Linked DNA regions of Kluyveromyces lactis. The protein of the gene in region 3 purifies or fractionates together with the protein of the main gene of each other region. This does not show direct contact. Links are inferred from orthologs where the notes say so. Each region holds a gene or a part of one and is shown on either strand. Other genes may lie near its edges.

Region 1 (4,803 bases), on a different chromosome or scaffold from region 3:
ACTCCCATAACATGTTCAATTTCTTGACTCAAAGGTATGGTTACAAAGCCGAGGATATAGTTATGCTAAATGATGATACTACCGACCCTGTGAGAGTTCCTACGAAAGCCAATATGCTGAGGGCTATGCAATGGTTAGTTAAGGACGCAAGACCTAATGATGCATTGTTTTTCCATTATTCTGGCCATGGTGGACAAACGGAAGATCTTGACGGTGATGAAGAGGATGGAATGGATGACGTTATATACCCTGTTGACTTCCAAATGGCTGGTCATATTGTTGATGATGATATGCATGCGATCATGGTTTCTCCTTTGCAGCCCGGTGTGAGATTAACTGCATTATTTGATTCGTGCCATTCTGGTACAGTATTAGATTTGCCATACACTTACTCGACAAAAGGTGTGATAAAAGAACCTAACATGTGGAAGGACGTTGGTTCTAGTGGTTTACAGGCTGCTATGGCATACGCTACTGGTAATACAACCAGTTTGGTCAGTTCTTTAGGAAATGTATTCACCACCATCACCAAGTCCAATAATAACGTCGACAGAGAAAGAGTTAAGCAAATAAAATTCTCGCCAGCTGATGTCATCATGTTTAGTGGTTCAAAAGATAATCAAACGTCGGCTGATGCTACTGAAAATGGTCAAAACACTGGTGCAATGTCCTGGGCTTTCTTAACAGTACTATCAAAACAACCTCAACAGTCCTACTTAAGCTTATTGCAAAATATGAGAGCCGAGTTAAGTAGCAAATACACTCAAAAGCCCCAATTATCTTGTTCGCATGAAATCGATACCAATCTTCAGTTCCTACTATGATATTGGAGTCTTAATCTTATTGCAATCAAGTATACGATGGTATTATAACGTGCTTTCTTTAAAAGATTATATAAGAATATCCAAACATAAACCTACATATAATCAATTCAGTTTCTGTTTAAGATGCTAATATAATTTAGAAGTCATGGGGGTCATTTTGTTATGAGGACACTCCAGATGAAACATTTTAATCTTTTCCAGCCGATAAGTTTTAATATGTACTTGAAATACAAGAATGAAAAAGGCAAGCAGTGGACAACAGAAAAAAATAAGTCTCGTATCTACATCAGTTAAGCTTCAGTTGGGACAGCGGCATCAGCGGCAGCAGCGTCCTCCTTTTCCTTTTGTTCCTTCAATTTTTTGGCTTCAATTTCTTCCTTAACTTTCTGTTCTTTAGCTTCGTACTCTAAGTTAAGTTTCTTGAGCTGTTCTTCAGCTTCTGCAATGTTCTTTTCAGTAGCTTCTGGTTGCTTGGCAGTCAAGTCCTCATGCTTAGCCTTCAACTGTTCAACAGTGGCTGGAACATCGCCCTTGGATAATGGTACTCTGATATCTAATTCGGCCAACAAGGCGATCATGGATGGCTCTAGAGAGAACTTTGTAGATTGCGCCTTCTTCTTGTGTTTCTTTGATTTGGAAGCGGTTGAAGCGGAGAAGAATCCTTCTCTTTCCTTAACGATTGGCACTAACCCTTCAGAATCAACAGTCTTAGTTGGGGTGGCAGTTTGTTGAGATGTGCTACCGAAATCGATACCCAAGACGTTCTTCACTGGCTTAACGTAAGTTGGATCCAAAACAGTCAACATATTCTCAATGGATTCCAATTCGAAGGTGAAAGCAGGCTGTTTGGCATGGTTTAGTCTTTCTTGTAGCTTGCCCACTTTTTCTTCCTTATCTTCTAAGATCTTGGATAGTTTTTCGTCTTCTTCACGTTTCAAACGCTGCTCATCCAACTTCTTCTTGAATGACTTGAATTCGTTGTCGAAATCACCTCTGATCTTCCTAATTTGAGTGTAGATTTCGTCACGCTTGTTGTACAAGGCAGAACGCTTAGTGATTAAAGTCTTTCTCTTGTCGTAAACAACTTGGTTCTTAGAGTTTAAGTTATTGATCTGACCTTGGATAGTTTCGAACTTTGCGGCAACCTCCTTCGGGTTAGAAGCGTTCAATTCCTTCTTCAAAGCATCAATTTGTTCTTTCTCTTCTTCGATAGATTTTCTAATTGGTTCCACAACTTGGAAATCTTTGGACAATTTGTGCAAACTTTGCATTTCCTTGACTCTTAACCTTTCCTCCACCAAGGATAAGTCACCAGAAGCGATTTCATCGTCAATTTCAGCCAATCTTTGCTTGATTTGACCAACATTTTGGAACTTCTTGTTCTTACCGACCAAATCGTTGATCTCACCAGATTTACGTTTGATTTGAGCATCCAAGAACTTAATCTGGTCATGGATTTGTTGTCTCTTAGCCTTCAAGTCCGATTGAGTTTTGATCACTTCCTTCAATTCACCTTGCAGCTTTTCCTTTGAATTCTTAGCATCTTTGGAGAAATCGGTATTATCAATTTGTTGCTTGATCAATGATAATTCTTGATCAATCTTCTTCAACTGAACATTCAATGGCTCTAGCTTCTTGTCTCTGACAGTAACATCAGGTTTCTGAATATGTTGTTTTGGTCTAGCAGTGGACATCCTTGTAATATATTATTATTCTATGGTTATTCACTTGGTCACCTGGAACTAGCAACTGAAACAAGTAACACAAAACAGACTGGTGGAAAAGGTTACAGTTAAAAAGAAAACTTTAAGTATAGAAATGGTAACTTAATAACACTAATTGAACTGAAAAAATACTGTCTCAATTAACGTATCTCAAACACAACCTTTGTAGATCAAGAATTTGATTCTGTTCAAGAATCTGAAATTTTTAACACGTTTGAATAATTTTTCAACGTTCAATTAAAAAAATATCGAATCTTTCCCAAAAGCTTTTTTTTTCTGGAAGACACCACGAATCTTCTTACAGATCAACAGTGCTCTCAGACGGATCGGACCTTTTGTGTGTATTATTCCCTCCGGAACATGACAAAGCTTGAGCTTCAATCTGGGTAGACAATATATTCTGGTCATTTACAAATTTTCGTTTACTACACAGCTTCTCATCCTTCTAATTAAGTTTCCTACTCTTCCATTGTAATACGTAGGTGATCCTCAGCGACAATTTCCGGTTACTGTCGTTTGAGATTTTTCTATATTAAATAAAACTGGGACATTTCTCTCACAGTGTGTTAGTTCATTGCAAAGCTTCAACAAATGGAATAAGAAATGGACAACAGCAGCAGCCTACTGTGTCACTATTGGTAGCATCTCGAATCGCGTGTCTTTCGTATAAAAGTTTCCATTATTTGGCCGATACCGAAATGCAAACAAAAAAAAAATTAGATTTAACGAACAATTTAAAAGAAGAAAAGTTGAGCTCATTCTGCTTTAAAGAATCTTCGAAAACCATCTTGCGGAATAAAGCTAAGCGTATGCATCCTGTAGGACGTGCAGGAATTTCAAACTGAACCTTCACTTAGCGGACCAACAGAAGAGATGTCAACTCAAACTTCTACCTATGCGGACCTTGTGCATTCATTAGAACAAGATGACATCTTAGAAAAGTTTCCTGAGGTCATCCCATTGAACAACAGACCAAATACACATTCTACTGAATCCTCTGGCGAAACGGATAATTTGCTAGATGGATATGATGAGGAACAAATCAGATTGATGAATGAAAATTGTATAGTTTTGGATTGGAACGATACTGCGATTGGTGCTGGTACAAAAAAACTATGTCATTTGATGGAGAACATCAACCAAGGTCTATTACATCGCGCATTTTCTGTGTTCCTTTTTGACAGCGATGGTAAATTACTATTACAACAACGTGCCACTGAAAAGATTACTTTTGCAGATCTTTGGACCAACACATGCTGTTCACACCCTTTGTGCGTCGATGACGAACTTGGACTGAACGGCTCTTTGGAAAGTAAAATAGAGGGTGCCAGAACTGCAGCAGTTAGAAAATTGGAACATGAACTAGGTATCCCACCACAAGAGGTTGAATCTAAAGGAGAATTCCACTTTTTGAACCGTATTCATTACATGGCTCCAAGCGATGGTGCTTGGGGAGAACACGAAATTGATTATATATTCATCTATCAATTGAGAAAAGGAGAGACTCTGACCGTCGAGCCAAGCACTAATGAAGTAAGAGATATTGCTTGGGTATCTCAAGAAGAATTAAAGCAAATGTTCGCAGATGGTAACCTAAAATTCACTCCATGGTTCAAATTAATTTGTGACAATTATCTATTCCAATGGTGGAATCAATTAAATGATTTGAACAAAGTCGAAAATGATACCAAAATTCACAGAATGATGTAAAAACAAAACAAAAGTTGAATTCCGGAAACATTGTACATTGACTCATCTATTGAATGAGATATTCCCTATTAAACGAAAAGTTCACCTGGCAGATATTCCCTTTCCGCTTCTCTACACCTAATGATTGCAATTAATTTTGGTTTATTCTATTTACATGAATAATATTTCAGAAAAATGTCCAGTAATCCAGTATATATCTATATGTATAGTGCAAAACTCTTTCTTTCAATTTAAGAAACCATTAATTAGTAGAGCAGTAGCAACACTAACGTTCAATGAGTCAATAGTGTTTCGTCCCTCGGTTGGGTCTCTCCCAAAAGGAATCTCTACAGTGAAATCACTTCTGTTCAGTAGGTTTGTTCTAACACCGTTTCCTTCATTACCAACAACCAAAACTACTGGTAGCTCGTTCAGCATGCCACTTAATTCATTCATTGTTAAGTGATTTCCTTTCTGTGAAATGCTCATATGTGAAGTAACAAACATCCATCCTCCATCCTGTTTGGATTTTTCAAAGAACTGCAAGGGTTTAGCGGTGGTAAATA
Region 2 (5,113 bases), about 800 kb from region 3:
AATATTGTACGCACAATGAACCCCGAGATTATATCAATGTCAGACTGTTTGGATTCATCAATCACATATACCCAATTTTCCATGGCCGTTAATGATGTTGCCCCTAATCTTTTAAATCCCTTGAAAATGCTAATGGAACATGTTCTTTATATGGATAGAGATCTCGTAGACGCGGACGTTCTTCAACCAATCTCAAATCCTACTAAAATTGTAAATGAATCTGAGCTATCGCAGTTAGCAACTTTTTTACCGAAGGAGATTGTTTTCTCCAGGTTCCAGAAATTATATGTTGGAAGGGAATCGGGCTTTTCTATGAGATCTTTCCAATCTAAGGTCTTCAAGTGGATGGCACCTACGATATTATTCGTAGAGGGTATGAGAATTCGTGACGAGGACGATGAAGATGGCGATGCTTATGCCGTGAAAAATCCAAGGTATAGAAACTTTCTGCAAGAATATGGTAAGTTAAAAAGTGAAGATCAACATTTGGATACGTTAAGTAAGAAAAAACGAAAATTGTTATTTGCTGTTTGTATTCGCGACCCATGGAAAGTATCAAATAAAGATTTGTTTGGTGATTCGTCTACAAAAATTATCCAACTTCATCCAAGACAAGAGATCTTCGATGCGGACCCATTCAAGACAGGAAACGTATATTTCAACACTGTTGGGGGAGGTATAGGTATTGGTAGCTCTCAACCTATCATCAAAGCTAACGGTAAAAAATACTTCCCAGGAAATGTTTCACTTACTATTGATTCATCTCTCGAGTTCGGTATATTTAGACATTTGGGAGCAGGTGGGAGTTTTAAGCCTGGCCGTCTAATAAGTGGACGTGGAGAAGAACGGAATTCGTTCGAATACCGATTCATAATCCAAGATGTAGAAGTGTGGGGATGCGGAGGAGAAAAAGAGCTCGAAGAGCAAGTAAAGCAATGGCAATGGGAAGAGGCCGAAGCCAAAAGAAGGCAAAAGATCAACTTACAAAGCATGGGAGAAGATCGTGCATTATTGGAAATGGCAGGTCTTGTAGGGCAACATCAAAGCGGTGGATCTATTTAAAATCGCTAAGTAAATATTAAATATTTGAAATTGCATAGAATTTTTAAATTGATCATTTCTTGCTTTTCGTCTTGTTAATGAGCTTTTTCTTAACGTGTTTTTTTACTTTGGTCTTCCTCTTTTCACGTTTGGCCTCTTTTGTTTCTTGCTTACGTTGTTTTTTAGCATCTTTATCTTCGTACTTTTTTCCTTTCAGTGGAGTGTCTTTATCGGAGACCCATCCATCACCATCAGAACTATCGTTAGTTTCATCACTATCATCATCTTCATCTGATCCAGCTATGTCATCTTCATTGATATCCGTTACGAGGTTAGGGAGATCATCACCATCTACGTCATCTTCCTCGTCATCAGAAGAAGAGAGTTCATATTGCTCCGATGCTGTGAAATTTTCGGAATATTTCCTGTTTTCATTAGCAATTAATGATTTCAGTAGGTCAAATTTACCATCAGTGAATCTATCAAAATCTCTTTCCTCTAAACCACCCAAATTTCTTATCAAATGTAAAGATCTGAACACTTCATCTTCAGCTTCGTCTTCATCAGTCAACTTTAGAGGTAAATTGTCGGCAACATATGTTTCTAGATCATCGCTTGATCTGTAATCACCCTTGAATTTGTCTAAGACCTCACTGATGATGAACTGGAAGATCACCCGTTCAGGGAAAATGTCAATTCCCAATTTTTGGAAATATGAGTTAACATTCTTAATATCCATTCTTAGGAAATCTAGAGACATAGGATGTTCTGGTTGTACGGATTGCGAAACATCAATAATATAAAGCTTATCCTCATGTACAATACTATTATACTCACTCAAGTCTGCATGAACTAAGCGACATACCTGATATAACAGTCTCATGTACGCTATCATTAAATTGTAGTAATGTTTAATTTCTTCTCTATCTTTGTAAGGATGATCTTTAAGCCTCGGAGATGCGAAACCATCTCCTCTATTTAAAAATTCCATGACTAAAACGTTTGATCTAACTTCTATTGGTTTTGGACAAGGTATGACACCGCTTTGGTATATTCTCTTCAAGTTTCTAAATTCCTTTTCAGCCCAAATTTTGATCATCTTACGAGGATTATGTTGAGATCTCGAATTTCTGAATCTAAATTCACCATCAACGTATCTTTCACGATCCTTAAAAACCAAGATAGATGTCTTGTAAATCTTCACCGCGTATTCCTTCTTATTTTTTGGTTCATCAGTGGCAGTTGAAGTGGATGTGGCATCCTCAGATTCGGCAGTTAGAGCTTTTTGTTTTGTTGATTCAATATTTTGTGGGGCTCCTATTGTATCATCATGTCCCTCTACCAGCAGATGTCTCTCCTCATGATTACCAGCAAACGCATGGTACACGTTTGCTTCTTTACCTGTACTCAAACAACCATTAAATGCTGATAATATTCCCCTGTTCATCATGGATTTCAAAAACCTCATCGTACGTGGGTCTAAAACATTCTCTACAGTGGCCCTATTCGCCTTATCTTTGCTGGTTTTACCCCTAGTTAATGATAACTCATCTGTTTTGATGCTATTGGCATACCTCTCTAGGATCTGAGTGTTGACATGCTCATCACGGTTGGCTAAATTCAGTTTTTCCAGCTTATCGTCAATATTCATCATTCGTAGTCCAACTATAGATAACTTCTGCTTTCTGATTTACTAATTTGACAATACACAGGAGCTGAACGGCGTATATTGTTCTGTAAATAACCACTATTCCAACCTCATCGCTCATCTTGTACACCATTAAAGTAAAGTAGCGTACTTTTTTTTTTCCTACGTTTTTTTTTCACGATGCTCTAGACAGGATCGCGAATTGCTTTTCAATAGAGGAAATAGTTGTAAACATTCTAAAACGCTCAGTAGATGAATTGAAAGGTCTACCTGTGTAAGTGGAAGAAACCAACTTGCTTTAACGTCAGGGTTTGTCCTTATTATACTCCTATGCAGCAGCAATCAAATATGGTTCATTTGCCACAAGTATGTTTCTTTTGGGTATTTAACCGCAGTTGAAAGACGTTTTTACATGATCGTTTGATGCATGGTTTTTTTTTGATACCAGTAATATGTACTAACAGATGACATTGCCCTTTAGACATTCCTGTCTTATCCCTTGTACATAGGTGTTGAGGTTGCACTTGGTGTGCTAACCTTCAACAAATTCAGCGGGATGTATGGTGTTCTTGCACTTTTCACTGGACACCCGTTAGACTTTGTGCAATGGACTTTTTACATCTGGTCAATTTTCTGTCTAGTGGTATTCATTTCAGGAATAAGACAAGTTTATAAGCCCAATATCCTCTTAATGTCCACGGTTACTTTTGTGTTCAGTGTGGACACAATTGTTAGTTGCATTTACTGCTTATGGTTCACTGCTGTGTGGTTCAGCCAGGAGGGCTCCACTGACGTTACGGACTTGAAGAGCGCGGGAACCGCACTTGGACCAGCTCATGAGGGAACCACATCCACGATCTCAACTAAAGTAGATACTTCTAAGAGTGCTTCTAGCGGCTATGAATTTTTCCTCATCATATTGCTAACTTTAGTTCCACTAGCAGTCAGATTCTATTTCAATTTCATCATAATTGCATTCCAACAACAACTATTGCGCAGTGGGAAGTTCACATTCGATCAGAACGATATAGAAGTCAATCTACACAACAGAAACATTTTGTTTAAATGGAGATACAAATTCGAAAAATGGTGTTTCTACCTATGCAAGAGATACTTATAGCCCGGTACCCTTTAAACACATCATTATATAGATACGGACTAATATTATCATATAGCTAACATTGCATCATTGTCTTTTCAAAAAGTGGTCCAAGTGGGGTTCGAACACGGAATTAATTCCTAATCAGAGAGCAATTTTTTGATAAGATGCACCATCCTATTGAGAGATCAGTAAGAGTGACTCATAAAAAAAAGCGAACACAAGACCATCAATTGGCACTGGATATGACACACAATGCGTGATCACTCTTGACAGGGTACCTCTTTATACAATGAAGCTTGCATCGCTCATTGTTCCTGGTTTTCACCTCTGATTCATATCTTCAGGACTCTATTGTATTGTTCTTTCTCACTCATTATGTGCATCTATGCCGTTAGCTGTTTTTTTCTTTATATATACTGCAATGTGAAGTATTTCCATTTAGGAAGTTTCTTCAAAAATCTCATCGCTAACCATATCACTTAACGGTAAGTTGATCTGAATAGATAATAAAGGGCACTGCAGTGTTAGTTACTAGACTTTGGAATCTGCTTAGTATCCTGCATCCTGTACGCTACATTAGATAATCAAATTGAACCGGTCGAAAAGGCTTCCTTCCATACTTTAACCCAATAATGAGAGTTATCCGTCAATTACACACTTCTAAAAGATTGTTGCAATCTTTAGTCGATAAACAAAAATACCAGGCAACCACTTATGCCAGACCTAATCATTTGGTTCTGACTAGAGGTAAGAACGCCATTCTTTATGATGATGTTAACAATAAAGAATATATTGATTTCACTGCTGGTATCGCAGTAACTGCTTTGGGACATGCCAATCCGGAAGTGGCTGAGATCATGTACAAACAAAGTAAGAAACTGATCCATTCTTCTAACTTGTACTATAATGAGGAATGTCTGAAGTTGAGTGAAAATCTAGTGGAAGCTACTAAATCGTTTGGTGGTCAATACGATGCATCCAGAGTTTTTCTATGTAATTCCGGTACCGAAGCCAACGAAGCTGCATTGAAATTCGCCAAGAGATACGGTATCCTAAAAAGCCCATCGAAGCAAGGTATAATTGCGTTCCAAAACTCTTTTCATGGTCGTACCATGGGTGCTTTGTCTGTTACCAGTAATCCAAAATATCGTGAACCATTTGGTTCTTTGATTCCCGGAGTGGAATTTTTAAATATTAACGATGAGCTGACCAAATTGGATCAACAAGTTTCTAGCTTGAAAGAAAAGACTGCTGGGTTGATTGTGGAACCAATTCAAGGTGAAGGTGGTGTGTTCCCAATCCCATTGGACACTTTAGTTGGA
Region 3 (5,584 bases):
CAGATGAACCATCCTTCAAAGAGGCTTCGTGTTCTTCACGTCTCTTCTTTTCAACTTCCAAGTTCTTTAACAACATTGTCTGAGCCAATTTGACGGATTTTTGGTCGTTACCCCAAACCGTAAAGATTCTGTCACCATTTTCAGTTGGATCTTGACCGATGACGATCTTAGTCTTTGTGAATTTTCTCAAGTTGGCAATACGGTTACCACCAACTCCCAAAAGTGCACCTACAAATTCTTTTGGAATAGCCAACGTTTGAGACACTTGGATCTCTTTTGTATGTTTAGAATGAGGATAGTAACGGGGCAAAGTTCTTGGAGGTACATGGACGTCGTCTTGAATGAACAGTTCTGCGATTTCGTTGATACAGTTGGCAACCGAGGTAGGGAACCCTTGAATCTCCAATACTCTATCCTTAGAATCGGGCAAGAAATGTTTCGAGGCAACGAGTTTAACAGTATGCGTTTCAATCAATTTCTTAATCTTGGCACCTTGTTGGCCAATGACTGACGAAATCTGTGGGTTGGTACAGATTAATCTCAAATTACCAATTTGTTTCCATTTCTCTGGATCCTCAATCTCTTCCTTCGATGCTGGAGGTAACATGAATCTTAGATGCTTGAAAACGTGTTCCTCAGGCTCGTAATCCGTAGTTAGCACACGTAATACTTGACCCAACGAATTGGCCACTTGTCTTGGGGGACCACTAACATTCAATAACCTATCAGAACATGATTTTTCACGAGGTGATATACCGATTTTGATATCGTTTTCCCTCCTTATCGTCTCAATGGTATTCCCCTGAGGGCCAATGATCTTTGCTGCTTCTTTCAAAGAAACAAGGACGTGGAATGTAATATTGTTACCGTTGTTCACTTGGCTATTAGTATCATTATTAATTTCATTTACTTCATTATAACTGTTGTGGAATTGACTAGCATCGTTAATACTATTACTGTTGTTATTGATAGAGTCAACAGCAGCAGGGAACCTGCTGCTACTGTTGTTGGAATTATCAGCAGAAGATGACATAATTTTTGGATATGATCTGTCCTGTAAATATTAGAGTGATATTCTTGTACCTTTTAAAACGAACAAAGAAACAAATGGTTTAATTTACAATTTACAATTTACAGTAGCAAATATAATCTGAATACACAAAAACAATATGAGCAGTAGAAGAACCAAGTCCAGTCCAACCTAAGCTAATGTAAGTTTAAGTTTGTTAATATGAAAAATTTTAATTGAAACGGAATATTTTGCAAAGAGGTTTAAAGTGAACGGTAAAAGTTCAAAAAGTAAATAGAATTGCCATTATAGATAGAGTACGAGTTTCTGCGTTTTCGCCAGGAAGAGAGAGAAAGAAAGGGTGATATGAAGAAAGGGAAGCTAAGGTACCGGGTTGCCCTTGGAATAGCCCTGTGCCACGGTTTTGCCTAACCGAAATGCATATTATGCATGTATAGGTAGAAACCATTGAAAACATAATAATAAGCTAAGATAACAATATCGGAACTCTTATAAGACAGATTAACCGAGGGGAGATCTAATATTATAATGTAAGTTTTTGTATAACTAATATATACATAAGGGATTTATGTTATGATTTATTGGTAATGACGACGACCAAGAATAAATTGTAGGGAATAAAAGCAAAATTAAGAGATTTTAAATTGCTACAACTTAGTTGGCGGTCATGACTTGCCAAACTCTGATGACGTTGTCGGTGTAACCGGCGAACAAAGTTTGACCATCAGCAGACCAAGCCAAAGAAACGGCGTGTGGGTCTTGAGCCTTGGTGTAACCAGCAAATTCTGGCTTCAATTCGTCGATCAAGACTTCGTTTTCCAAGTCGTAGATCTTGATACCAGAAGCAGTAGCAGCGGTCAACCAGAATCTGGATGGAGAGAAGGCCAAAGCAAAGACTTCGTCCTTAGCGTCGAAGTTCATGAAGGCGCTCTTGTGCTTCAAGTTCCAGACGTAGATTTGACCGTCCTTACCAGCAGAAGCAGCTAGAGATCCATCTGGGGATGGTTGAACAACGTTGATGTAGTTGTTGTGACCGATGAAATCAGCTTCGATTCTGTAAGAGTCTTCGTTCAAAGACCAGGACTGTAGTTAATAAGGGGAATGGAAGATAATTCCCAAAATATTGTTAGTAAAAATGATATTTGGTTCAAAGCCATGAGATATATCTGGGAATACAGGCCCAAATTGCTCGCTCCATGATATTCAAATGCACAAAACTCAATTCAAAATTTTAATTCACTAATTAAAAAGACATCAGAGATCTTGGTGATAATTAGTATGTCTCATTCGAAACCATGTAAGGTTACGTCTGAAGTAGCAAATATAAGAAACATCATTTGTCATAGTATAGTGAATTGAGCCATGTATTTTGAGAATATATTACGGGGAAACAACTGAGGACCTGAATTCCAAGGTAAATCAATCTAATCGGGAGATAGGCAATGCAATGCAATGCAATAAAAGAAAAAAGTCTGGCACATACTCTAACGATCTTGTCCATACCAGCAGAAACGAAAGTGATTCTACCGTCATCGACTTCACCGTCTTCCAAGTTCTTTGGAGCAACTCTGACCTTGGTAACCCAGTCGGTGTGACCCAACAAGACGTAGGCACAGTCACCGACAGTGTTCCAAACTCTGATGGTCTTATCTCTGGAAGCAGAGATAATCTTAGAAGAGTTAGCATCAATGGCAACGGACAAAACATCACCGGTGTGACCAACAAATCTAGCTTCAGAGTTACCAGTAGCCAAGTTCCACAATCTCAAGGTCTTATCCCAAGAAGCAGAAACGGCGTAGTTACCGTCAGCAGAGACAACAACATCTTGAACGATGTGAGAGTGACCCTTGTAAGATCTAACTGGGACACCGAATTGTTGTTCGTTTTCGGTCAATCTCCAGGAGATCAAAGTCTTATCTCTGGAACCAGAAACCAACAAGTTTGGTTGAGCAGCAGAGGTAGACAAAGAGGTGACCCAGCCGTTGTGACCTTCTAGGGTACCTCTCAAAACAAGCATAATATTGCTGGAAGACATTTCTTTTCAGTTAATTCCTTGAGATGTGTTGTTCTGATGAATCAAAAGAAGAGAATAGATAACAATTTCAATCAACAAGAACTGATAGCTTAATACTAATGCAGTAAACTCTTGCAAGTTATATCAAGTTCTTAATACTTTCTCAATATTCAAGTGATGAGCTTTGGCTAGAAAAGAATTTTTTTTCAATGTGCGTGGTGCGTGCTGAGTGGTACGCTGAATGGTGTAAGGGTGTCGCGCGTATCTTTTGGTCTGGCAACTCTGAGGACTGTGTTTTTATAAAAAGTCGGGTATATCAGTACACCACACTGCGGTGCGTAAGAATTTACGCAGAAGTGTGAATCTCCCTTAGCAATTTCCCTAATCAGGTAGTAACCATTCTTATTAGGAAGTGAGATCTCTCAATACCGTAACCCGGACATCATATGATGTCCGGGTTACGGAATCTTCCGATACACGTGAGCACACACGTGACCTCGCCAGCAAGCTTTCACTTTCCAGTATTCATAGAAAACATCAATCAAATTAACTGGAATCTGTATATAAATAGATGAACCTGTTTATATTCAAGACTCTGTCCCCAAGCGATTAGTCTTCCTTCCTCCAGCCAATTGCTTGCTCTGCTTTCTCATAAATACCAAGGGAAACAATGGGTGTTGATAAGAAGATCAAGAAGTTCTTAAGAGACGCCATACGAGTGGCTCCTAAGATTTCCAATAAAGGTGAATTGTTTGAACTACGAAATGGATTAGTATCTCAGTACCCACAGACCCGAAAGGACGCGATCCGTAAGATTATTCAACAGATGACTTCCGGCAAAGATGTTTCATCTTTGTTTCCCGACGTTTTGAAGAATATAGCCACTCAAGACATTGAACAGAAGAAATTGGTATACCTTTACGTGGCTAATTATGCAGAAACTCATCCGGAGTTATGCATCCTTGTCGTGAACACATTCGTCAGCGATGCAGCTGATCCGAACCCATTGATTAGGTCTATGGCAATCCGTACCATGTCGATGATCAGAGTTGATAAGATCTTGGAATACATTGAGATTCCGCTAAGAAAGACTCTAGTCGATGATAATCCGTACGTGAGAAGAACCGCGGTACTATGCGTTGCAAAATTGTTCCAATTGAACCCGGACCTATGCCGTGAATTGGGCGTATTGAACGATTTGCAAGACGCTTTGTCTGACGATAATCCAATGGTTGTTGCCAACGCGCTTGCCGCACTGCACGAAATTAACGAATTGGACCCTGGTTCAATAGATATCAAGAAATTAGTATCTCAAAACGTTAAGAGGTTTTTGAACGTGTTGAACGAATGTACAGAATGGGCAAGAATCACTATTTTGGAGTCATTGAGCGAACACAAACCAATTGACCCTATGGAGTCTCAAGAAATTATCGATAGAGTTGTTCCACATTTGCAACACGTAAATCCATCAGTGGTCTTGATCAGTGTTAAATGTATACTCATACATCTACCAAATTTGAACACAGTCCATGACTCTATATACAACAAGTTATCAACTGCATTGGTCTCACTAATGTCGACCCCAGTGGAGATCCAATATGTTGCTTTGAGAAATATAAGAATTATTTTGGATGCCTTCCCAAACTTGTTAAGGAAAGAGTTAAGAATATTCTATGTCAAATTTAATGATCCATTGTACGTGAAGATAGAGAAATTAGACATCTTGCTCAGATTAGTGCCCGTGGATAATTTGAAACATTGCCAGATGCTTTTCAACGAATTAAAAGAATATGCAAAGGACTTTGATCATGAATTCGTGACCAAAGCTATCCAATCCATCTCACAATTGGCCATTAAAGTCTCGAACGGAGGTGAAGATACGAATAACAAGTTTTTGAATATGGTCATGGAAGAATTCGTTTCGATTGTCCAGGAGAGAGAAGAGTTTAGGGATATATTGATGAGATGCGTATGCGACATGTTACGTTATGACAGTGACAACAATCTTATCAAGGAAACAAGTAAGAATGAGTTGGGTGCCATAATTTCCTCATGGCAAGATATCGATACCATATTTACATCTGATCTAGGCAGTTGTAACTACATCTGGTTTATCACCAACTATACAAACGAAAATTTGGAAACTAAGCTTGAACCACTGGTAGAAGTTTTCGATGAATTAGGATCCCTAACTCAAATGTCCCTTCTAATGGGTGTAGTGAAATGCCATAATGCAGTCTCAAGTGCTTTCTTACAGAAGATCTTGGAACTTTGTACGACAGACGTCCACGATTTGGACGTTAGAGACATGGCCATGATGTACTGGCGGTGTCTATCGATCGACAACGGTGATCAAATCATCAACCAATTATTTGACAAGCATGAAATTCCTAAATTGCATTCTACCTTGGACCACTTCTCCAAGGAAACATTACAAAGTCTACTTCAAGAGCTCTCCACTCTATCCTCTGTGTATTTCAAACCAATCTCGCAGATGCAACGCCGTCCCAACGAAGTTCACATCATTAAGGATAAGGATA
Region 4 (4,988 bases), on a different chromosome or scaffold from region 3:
TGGTGCCAGTGGTAATATCAACACCGTACACAATGACATTTCCCTCGAAAATTCTGTTTCTGCCAAAGAGGAACGAAACAGGAAAGCCTTTAGCATTAGATAAGGAAGAGACAGAGACATATATGGTTGGAATACGATTCAATTCTGATTTAAGAGTTGTCATTTAGGACTACTCCAGTAAGTACGATAGAATTTTAATGCAATCTCTTAATAGTCAGCTCGGAGGATTGCCAAATTCGGAGCAATTTTTCGGGAAGGGCGCTGTTCAGCAGCAAGGGCCAGTTGGGATGAACGGGATGCTTTTCTCCCCTTCTATGAATAGTACTCGTATGATGCCTCAACAGTCGCAACAACCACATGTGCTGCATGGGCTTGAGAACAATGGGGGTCTTCAAAATTCGTACTTGTTGAAACAGAAGATGGATGTGGTAAACAGTGCTTTTGGGCAGCAAAACAACTTACAGCAGCAGCAGCAACCGGGAAAAATGCCGTTGCCGAATAATGGGCAAGTTCCTATGATGATGCAGAACAGCATTTCCGGTGGTAACTCTAATAACAATACGATTCCACAGCAGATGCAATTTCCAATGCCGGTACAACAACAGGCAATGGGAAACGTGAACGGGCTTGATACAACACCATTACCTAATGCATCTCATACGCCAATCTCGTCTCCAGCGCATCTTTTGATCAGAGAAGTGTGGCAAAACAACGTAAACTTCGAGTTTGCCATAATCCGTAAAATGATCGAGCAATACAAAGTTATTTCTATAAGCACCGAGTTTGTCGGTACGATAGCGAGACCCATTGGGAATTTCCGCTCAAAGACAGATTACCATTACCAGACGATGAGATCCAACGTGGATCTACTAACCCCAATCCAGATTGGACTTTCGTTAAGCGATTTACAGGGGAATAAACCAGACAACTTCCCATCCACATGGCAATTCAACTTCCATTTCGACGTAACAAAGGAGACCGTGAATTCGGAATCGTTAGAACTATTAAAGAAATCCGGTGTCATCTTGGAGAGACATCAACAGAACGGTGTTGATTTCGACGAGTTTGCTCAGTTGATGATGGATTCCGGGTTATTGTTGAACGATGAGGTCACGTGGATCAGTTACCATGCAGCATACGATTACGGGTTCTTAATCAACAGGCTCATGAACACAAACATGCCCAACAACAAAGAGGACTTCGAATGGTGGGTTCAGAAATACATACCAACGTCGTACGATTTGAACCTAATTAACAAGTTAGTTCATGAGGTAACGCAACAACACCCACATCCACCACCATTACATCTATTACAAAGTCAACAGCAACAGCAACAAAACCAACAACAGCAATATACACTAGAACTACTGGCTGACGAGTTGGGGATTCCGATCTTCCCATTGTTCAGCAGCGCAGCGGGACAAAGTCTCTTGGCACTATTGGCATACACCCAACTCGGTAAATTGTCTTTGTACAAACTACGCAATGGAACAGATTTCAGTTACTACAAGAACCTGATCTACGGAATCACACAGGAGTAATATATGTGATTTTTATGTGCCAGCCTTTCATATAGAGTATCATCAATAATGCATTTATGTATGTGAATATATATATATACATACACAATCATTCTTAAAATAGGGTATAAAAGGTGGCTGACTAGCCACCGTCACTGAACTGAACTGATGCTGACCAGTGCGAAACCCACAGGTTGCAAGAGCGCAACCTGTGTACTTCATTCACCTGGCATCTCGTGAGGCATGATTTCATAAGATGATTGACGAGTTTTCCATTAAAAAATTTTGAAAATTGACTCTTTACATATAATCACTAGATGCAAACATGCACATACTTTGCTTGTGAGGGGCGTTTCTTGTTGTTAGGGTGTCTATTTGGTTCGCTTATCGGTTTTCATGCATTCATTAGAAACCAGACTTTAATCTTTAGCGATAAGTTTGAAGCGTGAGGCACATATACGGTGTTCGTAGTGCTGAAATTTCCCGTGAGTCTGGAAAAAAGCACCCATAGGAAATTAATACTTTTTTGTTATTGTATTCTAGTATACCCTATACTTTCCTGCTTGAATATCCACCGTTAATACACTTGGATTAAAACGTTGTTAGAGCGTTATTAGAGCGTGCTTTTCCCTTCTTTTTTTTTTTTTTGTTTGACAGTTTTATTTTTAATTCATTCAAAGGTCTTTCTGATTGACAACGATTGACTGTATTGCATTCATTTCATACACTTTAGCATTCCAATTTGATTTTTTGATACCCGCGATCGGTTTGAAATTGAGAGTTATCAAAGAATAGTTGAATTCTTTTACAAGAACCAGTGTGTTTTTTCCTGTTTAGATTAATTTGATACAATCACATTTGGTTTGGAAAATATGACCACTTACGATGTGAAAGAGATCGGATATGCGTTCCTAAGGACGTACTATGAACGTATGCATAATGATCCATCGAAATTGTCGTGTTTATATTCTACCACGGCGGAATTGACCCATGTGAATTATAATGAACCTATCAAGCATGACAAAGATTATTTAAACACCGTCAAGTTGATTGGTAAGGATAACATCAACAATTTCTTTACCAGAAACAGCAAGCGTGTACAGGATTTGAAGGTCAAGATTGATTCGTGTGATGTGCAATCTACTGGGTACGAGAGTTCTTCGATTCTGATATTGATATTAGGGGAGCTATGCTGGACGGATTCACCATCTTACAGATTTTGTCAGTGCTTTATCCTGGAACCAGCAGAGTATAACAGTAAAGTCTACGATTTGAAAAACGATATCATTCGTTTCATTCCTGACCTTGCTCCATTAGTGAACCCAGACCAGCCAGTATCACCACCATCTGCTGTTGTTGTTGAAGCTGAGAATGAGAAGCCAAATGTCAACGGGGACGCAGCTCCTGTTTCTGTTCCTGTATCTGTTTCTCCAGTAGTGGTAAAGGCAGCAGCGAAACCGGTTGAGATTGTCAAGCCAATTCCAACTGAGAAGCAACAGCCCTCTACTGCTCCAACGGAAACAAAAGTGGAACAACCCCAAGCCGTTTCAGTAAATAAAACTAAACCTAAGGAAAATGAGGCGATTGCGCCAGCTACTGCTCCTGCTGCTATTGCAGAAAAAGAAAAAGAAGACAAGGAAGACGAAGCACAAGCACAACCAAAAGAGCAAGCGACTTCAGCATCAGCCACCCCAACCTCAACGACAACCCGTTCTGAATCGGTGCCCCCACAAGAGGTTCCTGAAACAGAAGTCACCCCAAAGGCTGAACCAGTGAAAATGACTTGGGCAGGCAAACTCAACAAGACATCTAAACTAACTACAAACTACATCAAGGTAGATCTTCCACAAAAGAAGTCTAAAAGTCCACCTCCAAACGGATTCACCAAGTCAAACAAGAAAAGCAAGCAGCAATCGAAACCAATAGGCGACGTTATCATCCAAAACAGCAGCGGTTTCTACCCAGTATACGTGGGTAACACAAATGGGTTGACCGCATCCGAACTTGAAAGAGCTCTAATAAAAGAATACGGTGATGTCGTAAAAACCTCATTCCAAGATTCGTTCGCTGTGGTTGATTTCAGAGAAAAACCTGCAAGAGACGCTGCCATCGATGCTCAACATTTAAAAGTCGGTGAAAGAGTTATTAATTTAAACCCAAAGGGCGATAAAGCTTCTAAGTACAAAGCCAAGAACAACAGCAACAATAGTAATAGTAATTCTGGTAACACTAATCACAACACAAACGGCAACAGTTCACATAATTCCCCATCACCAGAACTCTCGTTAAACCAAGGTAATTCCACGCTTAAAAAGAGCTCAGTGAAATCCCGTAATGACAAATCAAAGAACTAATCTCATGTACTTTAATCGTAAACCCAAATCATCTCAAACCTAAATGAAAGGCGTGATAAAACCATATTATAAAAAAAAAAACCATAAAAAAAATTAACTAAAACGATGAAACTATGAGTCGGGGAAAACTTGTTAAATATATCCGTATGTAACCTATCCACATGTACATTTTATATATTTCCCTCTCACTATAAGCATATCACCGAAACATTATTGTTGTCTTCCCTTTTTGTTCCTTCTTTCTCTAAGTCACAACCCTTTGAAGTTGGTTCGAGCTTGATGAAATTTAAAGGAACAAAGATCTTCATGTGCACATCACAATGATAGAAAAGGTGATTGGCAGAAAGATCAGTGCTGAAGCCAAGGGGACAGGTGAGGAGATACAACTCTAGGGTCATAGAAACCATCAGCTATGTTAGTTCCTCCAGCGAATTTCGGGATTCCCGAGGAAGGTATCTATCGATGCAGTAAACTTGAGACCATTAACCTATCATTTTTGGAGACTTTGAATTTAAATACGATCATATTCATCGGTGGTCAAATCCCGAGTAATTTCTTCAAAGAGTTCTTCGCCACTAACGGCATAGATTACTTTGTCATTAAGACCTCTGGTGATTCGAGTTCTTTGGTAGCCCCAGATCACAAAAAGCGTCAATCTTCTGCGAATCATGGTGAGACGAGACGGAAGAGTCTTTGTGATAACTGTCACTACAGTTACACACTCACGGACCAAGACGATTTGATGCTAATCAAGAGTCAGAGCATCCGGCGAATATTCCGGATACTGTTAGATGTCTCGTACCATAACGTATTGTTAGTGGATAAGACGTCCGCTGTGATTGGAATATTGAGAAAGATTCAGAAATGGGAACTATCCTCGATAATCAGCGAGTACAGGCTATTCACAGGGAAGAACAAGAACTACTTTGCAGAGACGTTTTTGGAATTGATAGATATACGGCTAATACAAGAAGAAGAGCAACCAAACCAGCAGGAATCCCACGATACAGATTCTTCCACCGTGACTTCCCGGATGGATAATCTTTCAGTGGAAGAAAAGCAACAGCAAGAACAGCAACAAATACAAACTGTGCAAGAATCTGATCTATCCATG
Region 5 (5,895 bases), on a different chromosome or scaffold from region 3:
TAACTGTACACTGTTTCCAGTTTGGTTTAAAGGTTCAGTTTGTTATATTACTTCAATGTCAATACTATTTCAATCACCATCTACTTTATCTTGTAGAGAAAGGCAGCAAAAAAAACACTACGATAGGGTAATTACACATCACGTGCCAATATATTCAGTTCAATCACCAATTTAGTGAGGTGAAGAATCCTTAAGAGAGATGTAATGTAGACGTCTCTAAATGACAGTTATATTGTACAGTAAACATGATTAATATTATAGGTAAATACTTGCTTTGATTCTTTTCATAACAATATGCACAGGTGGGAGGGTTGAAGGTAAAATAACTCGAGGTAATTTCTATCAAACTTAATCATCTTCGGCATCCATCAATGCATCAAACATGTTGGCAGCGCCACCAGAAGATTTAGTTGGAGTTGGAGCTTGTTCTTCCTTCTTTGGCTCAGAATATCTCACTGATGACGATCTGGTAGTAGTGAAACCGTCTCTATTTTGATTGTGACTGTGAGAATGAGAGGAGAAATCTCTTCTAGAAGAGTTTCTCTCGCTATTCATACGTCTGGAACCACCTCTGGACCCATGGCGATCTCTTTCTCTTTCTCTTTCCTCCAAAGCCCTCTTCAAGGCTTCTTCTTCGTGAATTTGAGCAATGGTCTTTGGACCATCGTTCTTATTTTTACTATTCCAGTTCCTCTTTTCTCTTAGTTCGACAATGTCGATCAACTTAAACTTGATTCTGCTGGAGATGTCACCATTTTCGATCACGTTCTTTATTTGGTCGAATAGTGTGTCTAGCAAGCTTGAACCCTCAATGACAGCTTCTGCAGTAACTTGAATACGAGCACCTTCGAACTGTTCACCAATTGTTTCCAAAAGTTCACATACAGACTCTAGAGTATCTTCAGTAGGAGAGTTTTGAATATCCTTCATTAGTCTCTTGAAACAGAAGAAGACCATTCTGGAAGTCAATAAGTTCGAACGGTACAAGAAACCAATGAAACGAACCAAACCCAAACCTCTTCTCTTAGCGGCAGCCATCTTATAGTATTCATCGGACATCATTTCAGGTTGTAGAGGAGTACCGTCTTCGTTTGTAGGTAGTTGATCAGTCCATCCTGTTTGGAATTCAGTTTGACATCTTTGGACTAAGTAATGCAAAACCAAGTGAGAACCAGTCTTATCTGGGGTTTCTGAGTCTTTAATGCTATCATCTAAGTCTTTAACGACCTTACCACATAATTGCGCGTACATTGATGACCAATGAGGTTCATCGCAGGCCTTATTGAAAATTTGTTGGATGACAATCTTCAAAGTCTCACCCTTTTCTTCCCATCTAGATTGGTTAGCGATCTTCATGATATCATCAGAAATAGGTTCGAACATTTCTAATGTCAATTTATTCAGCAATGACTTCATCTTTCTTGATGCTTCTTCCGCGTCGTAAAGTTCTGTTCCGTCTGGAGCTAACTTGACTTCTGTTTTCTTCATCTTAGATTTAGGAACCCATCTATTAGCACTTGGGACCAATGGGGCAACCTCAACCTTTGGCTCTTCGACTTCTTCCTCTCTGAATCTTTCACGGTCCTTTCTGGAAGTGTATGATCTATTAGATTTTCTATCATCCCTCTTTGACTTCTTCTTCGAGTTGGACCTGGAACCCGATCTGCCTTCACTTCTTAGAGATCCAACCTTACCCTTACTAAATCTATCTTCGCCTCTTCCGCTTGAACCAGGCTTCTTAGGAGGGATGACAATTTTACTCGTCATTTCAGCCATCCACGCTGGATCGTATTTAACATCGACCTTTTCTTTGAACTGATACAAGAAATCAGGTCCGTATGCATATTTAATGCTTGTCTTTTTATATCTATCATTTGGAGGCGTAATGTCACTTGGGTATTGGAAGGAATAAATATCATCAACTGGAGAAACCTCTTTCAACTTCTGTAGGAAATCGGTCATGGTAATCTTTCCATCGTCTTCAACTTCAGCCTCTTCTCGAGGTTTTGTTTCAACATCAGCAGGAGTTTCAACGGGACCAGCAGGAGCCGGTTCACCTTCTTCGGCGTTTGCTTCAGTTGCTGTTTCTTCAGTTGCTGTTTCTTCAGTCTTTGGTTCTGCAGGCTTTGATTCTTCCGATTTTGGTTCTTCAGTCTTTAATACCTCGGTTTTTGGCTCTTCAGTTTTTGATTCTTCCGACTTTGGTTCATCTGACTTTGGTTGTTCAGTCGTCGGTTCCTCGGTCTTTGGTTCTTCAGGCTTTGGTTCTTCCGCCTTTGATTCTTCCGCCTTAGGTTCTTCAGTCTTTAGTTCCTCGGACTTTGTTTCTTCAGTCTTTAGCTCCTCGGTCTTTGTTTCTTCAGGCTTAGATTCTTCAGTCTTTAGCTCCTCGGTCTTTGTTTCTTCAGGCTTAGATTCTTCAGTCTTTAGTTCCTCGGTCTTAGCAGAAGCTTGCTTTGCAGCTTCCATCCTCTTAAGTCTCAATTTTTCGGCCAAAGTCAATGGTTTTGGCTCAGCTGGAGCCTCTTCCTTAGTCTTTTCTTGTGATTCTGATTGAGCTTCTTCAGACTTGGCAGATTCAGTGGCTGTAGGCCCTGTCTTAGTATCAACGCTTGCATCAGTGTCAGTTCCAACGACAGATTCCTTCGGTTCCTCAGGACCCTTCTCTTCGACAGCCTTCTTAGCAGCTAAAGCAGCCTTGCGTCTTTTAACTTGTTCCAAGAAATCGTTCACAATTAAAGTGTCCTTCTTTGGTTCTTCAGGCTTAGCTGGAGATTGTTCCTTACCATTAGCAGCAGGGCTCTGTACTTTGACAGCTGGAGAAGCTGATGGAGACACAGAGGATGATACAGCAGCAGCGACGGTAACGTTAGCTGGAGGCGACACTACTGGAACTGCACGCGAATGAGATTGAGAATGAGAATGAGTATGTGGATGAGCAATGGAAGCAATATCTATGTGTTCACCAGACTTGTTAGTAATCTCAACCTTCGCTGGTTTAGCTGAAACAGCAGCTGGAGACACTACTGGGGGGACATAACCTTGTCCGCTCATTGGAGTCTGGTAAGCAGCAGCGTACAGCTGTTGCTGCTGTTGGTACTGGTTATAGTACAGAGGGTTGTACTCTGCCGATACGCCGTAGTTCGGAATGTATCCCGCAGAAACACCGTACGCTGGTTGGTTATACTTTTGATAGTGCTTATTCGAGGAAGAACCATTATTATTGTTGTTGTTACCTCTTTGGTTATAAGGCCTAGAGTTCTTCCTGTTACCATCATATTTCCCATTTCTAGGAGCACCGCTTCCAGCAGTATTCTTGACATATCCACTGTTTTTTTGCGGAGAACTGGTTGTCTCCTCCTGCACAACTGGAGCTTCAACAGCTGGTTGCTGATCGGATGTAGGTTCGCCCATATCTGCTTTGAAAAACCGCTCTTTCTCTCTTCTTCAGATGAAATTAGCTGGATCTAAGCTCTTTTCTGTTTAATTTCTCTCTTGTAACCGAGTAATCCAGAGTACCTAGAGAAAACGAGTCGAGTTATATAGAAACACGAATGAGTAGAATGAAATTAAAGTCCAATTCTTAACTCTTTCTCTTTAAACAAATAAACGAAGAACAAAAAAAAATTATCACTTTCTTGTGAGATTCTTTTTTTCCCAGATTTGTTTCTTTACTGTCCACTGTTACTCTCTAACAATTCAAACAATACAAGTGCTGATAAATCTATTGACTATCAGATCAGCAGTAGCTCTCTGTGCCTCTTTTCCTCTATCCTGTTTTATGCAAAATGTGCTATCGTAATGGTAAAATTCAATGGCTTAAAGGTTGAAATTTTATTTCAAAAGATTCACAGCTTTTCCTCTTTACAATGTAAAAATTTTTTTTTTCTTCTTTCGTGTATATTGAGAAGATTGACATGATGGTCAAGTTTATGACGAGATGAGATGCGATGAGGGGGAAAAAGAGAGGATCTGATTAGAAACATATTGACACGGGGGTACAACCACAGGCGTGTGTTGTACGTGGCTTATGTATAATATGTAGGGATGTATCTAATGATATGCGCTGTTTGAGATGAAAGGGGTGAAGGATCCTTACTTGAACAATTTTGCTACAGAGATAGCAGTTTCGTCGTTCTTGTTCATGACCTTGGCCACGGCTAGTTCAAAATCTTCTTGGGTTACGTGAATTCTACGTTCCCTTAGTGCGTACATACCAGCCTCGGTACAAACACCTTTAACGTCAGCTCCAGAGCATCCGTTCATCTTTTCGGCGACTTTCCTTAGGTTAATACCACGGGTCAAGTTCATCTTTCTTGAGTGGATTCTTAGAATCTCTGTTCTAGCCGCTACGGTTGGTGGTGGGAATTCGATTTTTCTATCAATTCTACCTGGTCTTAGCAATGCAGGGTCCAATATATCCAATCTGTTTGTAGCCATGATGATTTTAATGTTTTTCGAAGTTTCAAACCCGTCCAATTGATTCAACAATTCCAACATGGTTCTTTGCACTTCGGAATCACCACCGCCAGATCCTTCAACACGACTGGAACCGATAGAATCGATTTCGTCCATGAAAATGATAGAAGGCGCATGTTCTCTAGCCATCACGAATAACTCACGGACCATACGGGAACCTTCACCGATATATTTTTGCACCAATTCGGCACCACTTACTCTGATAAATTTACAGTCTGTGTGATGTGCTACGGCTCTCGCTAGTAAAGTCTTACCAGTACCTGGCGGACCGTATAGAATAACACCTTTAGGTTGAGCGATACCAAGACTTTCGAATAGTTCTGGGTGTTTCACTGGTAATTCAATGACTTCCTTGATTTCTTTAATCTGCTTCGTTAACCCACCCACCATATCGTATGTAGAATCAGGTACTTTTTCGACCATCATTAGAGACACTAACGGATCTACCTTGTTCTCCAACACCTTATGTAATTGGTACGAGTCACTCTTCAAGCATACACGCTGTGATACTTTCAAGTCCTTGACGTTGATATCCTTAGCAACATCAACAATATATTTTCCTTCAGGCTGAACTTTCACCAAAACTTTTTTCTCACTGATAACTTTCAACACTTCTCCCACGTATGATCCAGATTCCTGCAAGAGCCTCAATTCATCCTTTATAAATCTGACCTTATCATTCAACGCATTTCTTTGAGCCTCTAGTCTACGCAAATTCGATGTCTTTTCTCTGATCCTAAGCTCACTTTCCTGGATTTTTTGGTCAAAGAAAGGCTTGATACCAGAGTCATGGCTCGTCAAAGGAATACTCGAAATTTGTACAGCACTCATCCTTTACAGTATAGGTTAGTTTTTCTTTAGTTTTTAACGCTTCTCTTATTCTTTTTAATCCCAAGAGATAGTTTACTTTCTAGTGGCAATTATAAGGAATTATGGTATCAGTACCTTCTCAAATGAATGATAATTCGTGTCTTCTATCTTAAATACCACTATTGGATCGGAAAGCCCTTGCAATTTGTGTTTGCCACTCGTTTTACTCTAAGATTGTGTTTAAAGATTACAGCTTTTCAACGTTTATAATGCCTTAAATTTTAACTTTCAAACTGTAAGTCCTTAAGTATGAGCATGTCCGTTGAAAATGATTATGATTTCAGTAATCATCACAAGCATAGCTAACCAGATCTATGCAGGTTGCAAGTAGTCGTGAATAACATCATCGGCGAGGTGCGGTTCGCCGAATCGATAATTTAGATCCAAATAGAGAAAACAATGAATAACACTGTTCTTGTAACTTGCGGAGCTACTGTCTCTTTCCCCAGACTGGTAGAAACAGTACTTGATAGATCTGTCACAGAGAAGTTGAAAGTTTTAGGGTATGGCAGAATTGTGATCCAGTACGGACGTGGGTTTAGTGAT

What was found. Proteins that work in one complex are often made in the same cells at the same time.
Region 1: the proteins of ASC1 (region 3) and BFR1 purify together in Saccharomyces cerevisiae (affinity purification with mass spectrometry; 3 studies listed by BioGRID, with this or other methods). This does not show direct contact. The link is inferred for Kluyveromyces lactis from reciprocal best matches to the Saccharomyces cerevisiae genes ASC1 and BFR1.
Region 2: the proteins of ASC1 (region 3) and RIO1 purify together in Saccharomyces cerevisiae (affinity purification with mass spectrometry; 3 studies listed by BioGRID). This does not show direct contact. The link is inferred for Kluyveromyces lactis from reciprocal best matches to the Saccharomyces cerevisiae genes ASC1 and RIO1.
Region 4: the proteins of ASC1 (region 3) and BRE5 purify together in Saccharomyces cerevisiae (affinity purification with mass spectrometry; 3 studies listed by BioGRID). This does not show direct contact. The link is inferred for Kluyveromyces lactis from reciprocal best matches to the Saccharomyces cerevisiae genes ASC1 and BRE5.
Region 5: the proteins of ASC1 (region 3) and KLLA0_A04730g purify together in Saccharomyces cerevisiae (affinity purification with mass spectrometry; 3 studies listed by BioGRID). This does not show direct contact. The link is inferred for Kluyveromyces lactis from reciprocal best matches to the Saccharomyces cerevisiae genes ASC1 and TIF4631.

The regions. Positions count from the first base shown.
Region 1 is NC_006042.1:82,212-87,014, forward strand, and holds BFR1 (Bfr1p), read right to left. Parts: upstream 2,519-4,803; coding exon 1,115-2,518; downstream 1-1,114. Other genes in the region: Ca(2+)-dependent cysteine protease MCA1, read left to right, coding at 1-824; isopentenyl-diphosphate delta-isomerase IDI1, read left to right, coding at 3,422-4,258; MRM1 (Mrm1p), read right to left, coding at 4,484-4,803. UniProt on the Saccharomyces cerevisiae protein: Implicated in secretion, nuclear segregation and in maintenance of cell size.
Region 2 is NC_006041.1:1,884,034-1,889,146, reverse strand, and holds RIO1 (protein kinase RIO1), read right to left. Parts: upstream 2,696-5,113; coding exon 1,115-2,695; downstream 1-1,114. Other genes in the region: RTC5 (Rtc5p), read left to right, coding at 1-1,062; KEI1 (Kei1p), read left to right, coding at 3,020-3,055, 3,171-3,809; ARG8 (acetylornithine transaminase), read left to right, coding at 4,424-5,113. UniProt on the Saccharomyces cerevisiae protein: Required for the final endonucleolytic cleavage at site D converting 20S pre-rRNA into the mature 18S rRNA. Required for the final steps of cytoplasmic maturation of the 40S ribosomal subunit.
Region 3 is NC_006041.1:1,084,259-1,089,842, reverse strand, and holds ASC1 (40S ribosomal protein RACK1), read right to left. Parts: upstream 3,066-5,584; coding exon 2,514-3,065; intron 2,373-2,513; exon of another isoform or gene 2,281-2,372; intron 2,114-2,280; coding exon 1,685-2,113; downstream 1-1,684. Other genes in the region: HEK2 (Hek2p), read right to left, coding at 1-1,033; APL2 (Apl2p), read left to right, coding at 3,715-5,584. UniProt on the Saccharomyces cerevisiae protein: Component of the ribosome, a large ribonucleoprotein complex responsible for the synthesis of proteins in the cell.
Region 4 is NC_006039.1:1,666,200-1,671,187, reverse strand, and holds BRE5 (Bre5p), read left to right. Parts: upstream 1-2,392; coding exon 2,393-3,874; downstream 3,875-4,988. Other genes in the region: CCR4-NOT core DEDD family RNase subunit POP2, read left to right, coding at 198-1,541; OCA4 (Oca4p), read left to right, coding at 4,287-4,988. UniProt on the Saccharomyces cerevisiae protein: Has a role in de-ubiquitination. In conjunction with UBP3, cleaves ubiquitin, leading to the subsequent mono-ubiquitination of sec23.
Region 5 is NC_006037.1:421,515-427,409, forward strand, and holds KLLA0_A04730g (uncharacterized protein), read right to left. Parts: upstream 3,415-5,895; coding exon 349-3,414; downstream 1-348. Other genes in the region: proteasome regulatory particle base subunit RPT6, read right to left, coding at 4,096-5,310; N-acetylglucosaminyldiphosphodolichol N-acetylglucosaminyltransferase catalytic subunit ALG13, read left to right, coding at 5,749-5,895. UniProt on the Saccharomyces cerevisiae protein: Component of the eIF4F complex, which interacts with the mRNA cap structure and serves as an initial point of assembly for the translation apparatus.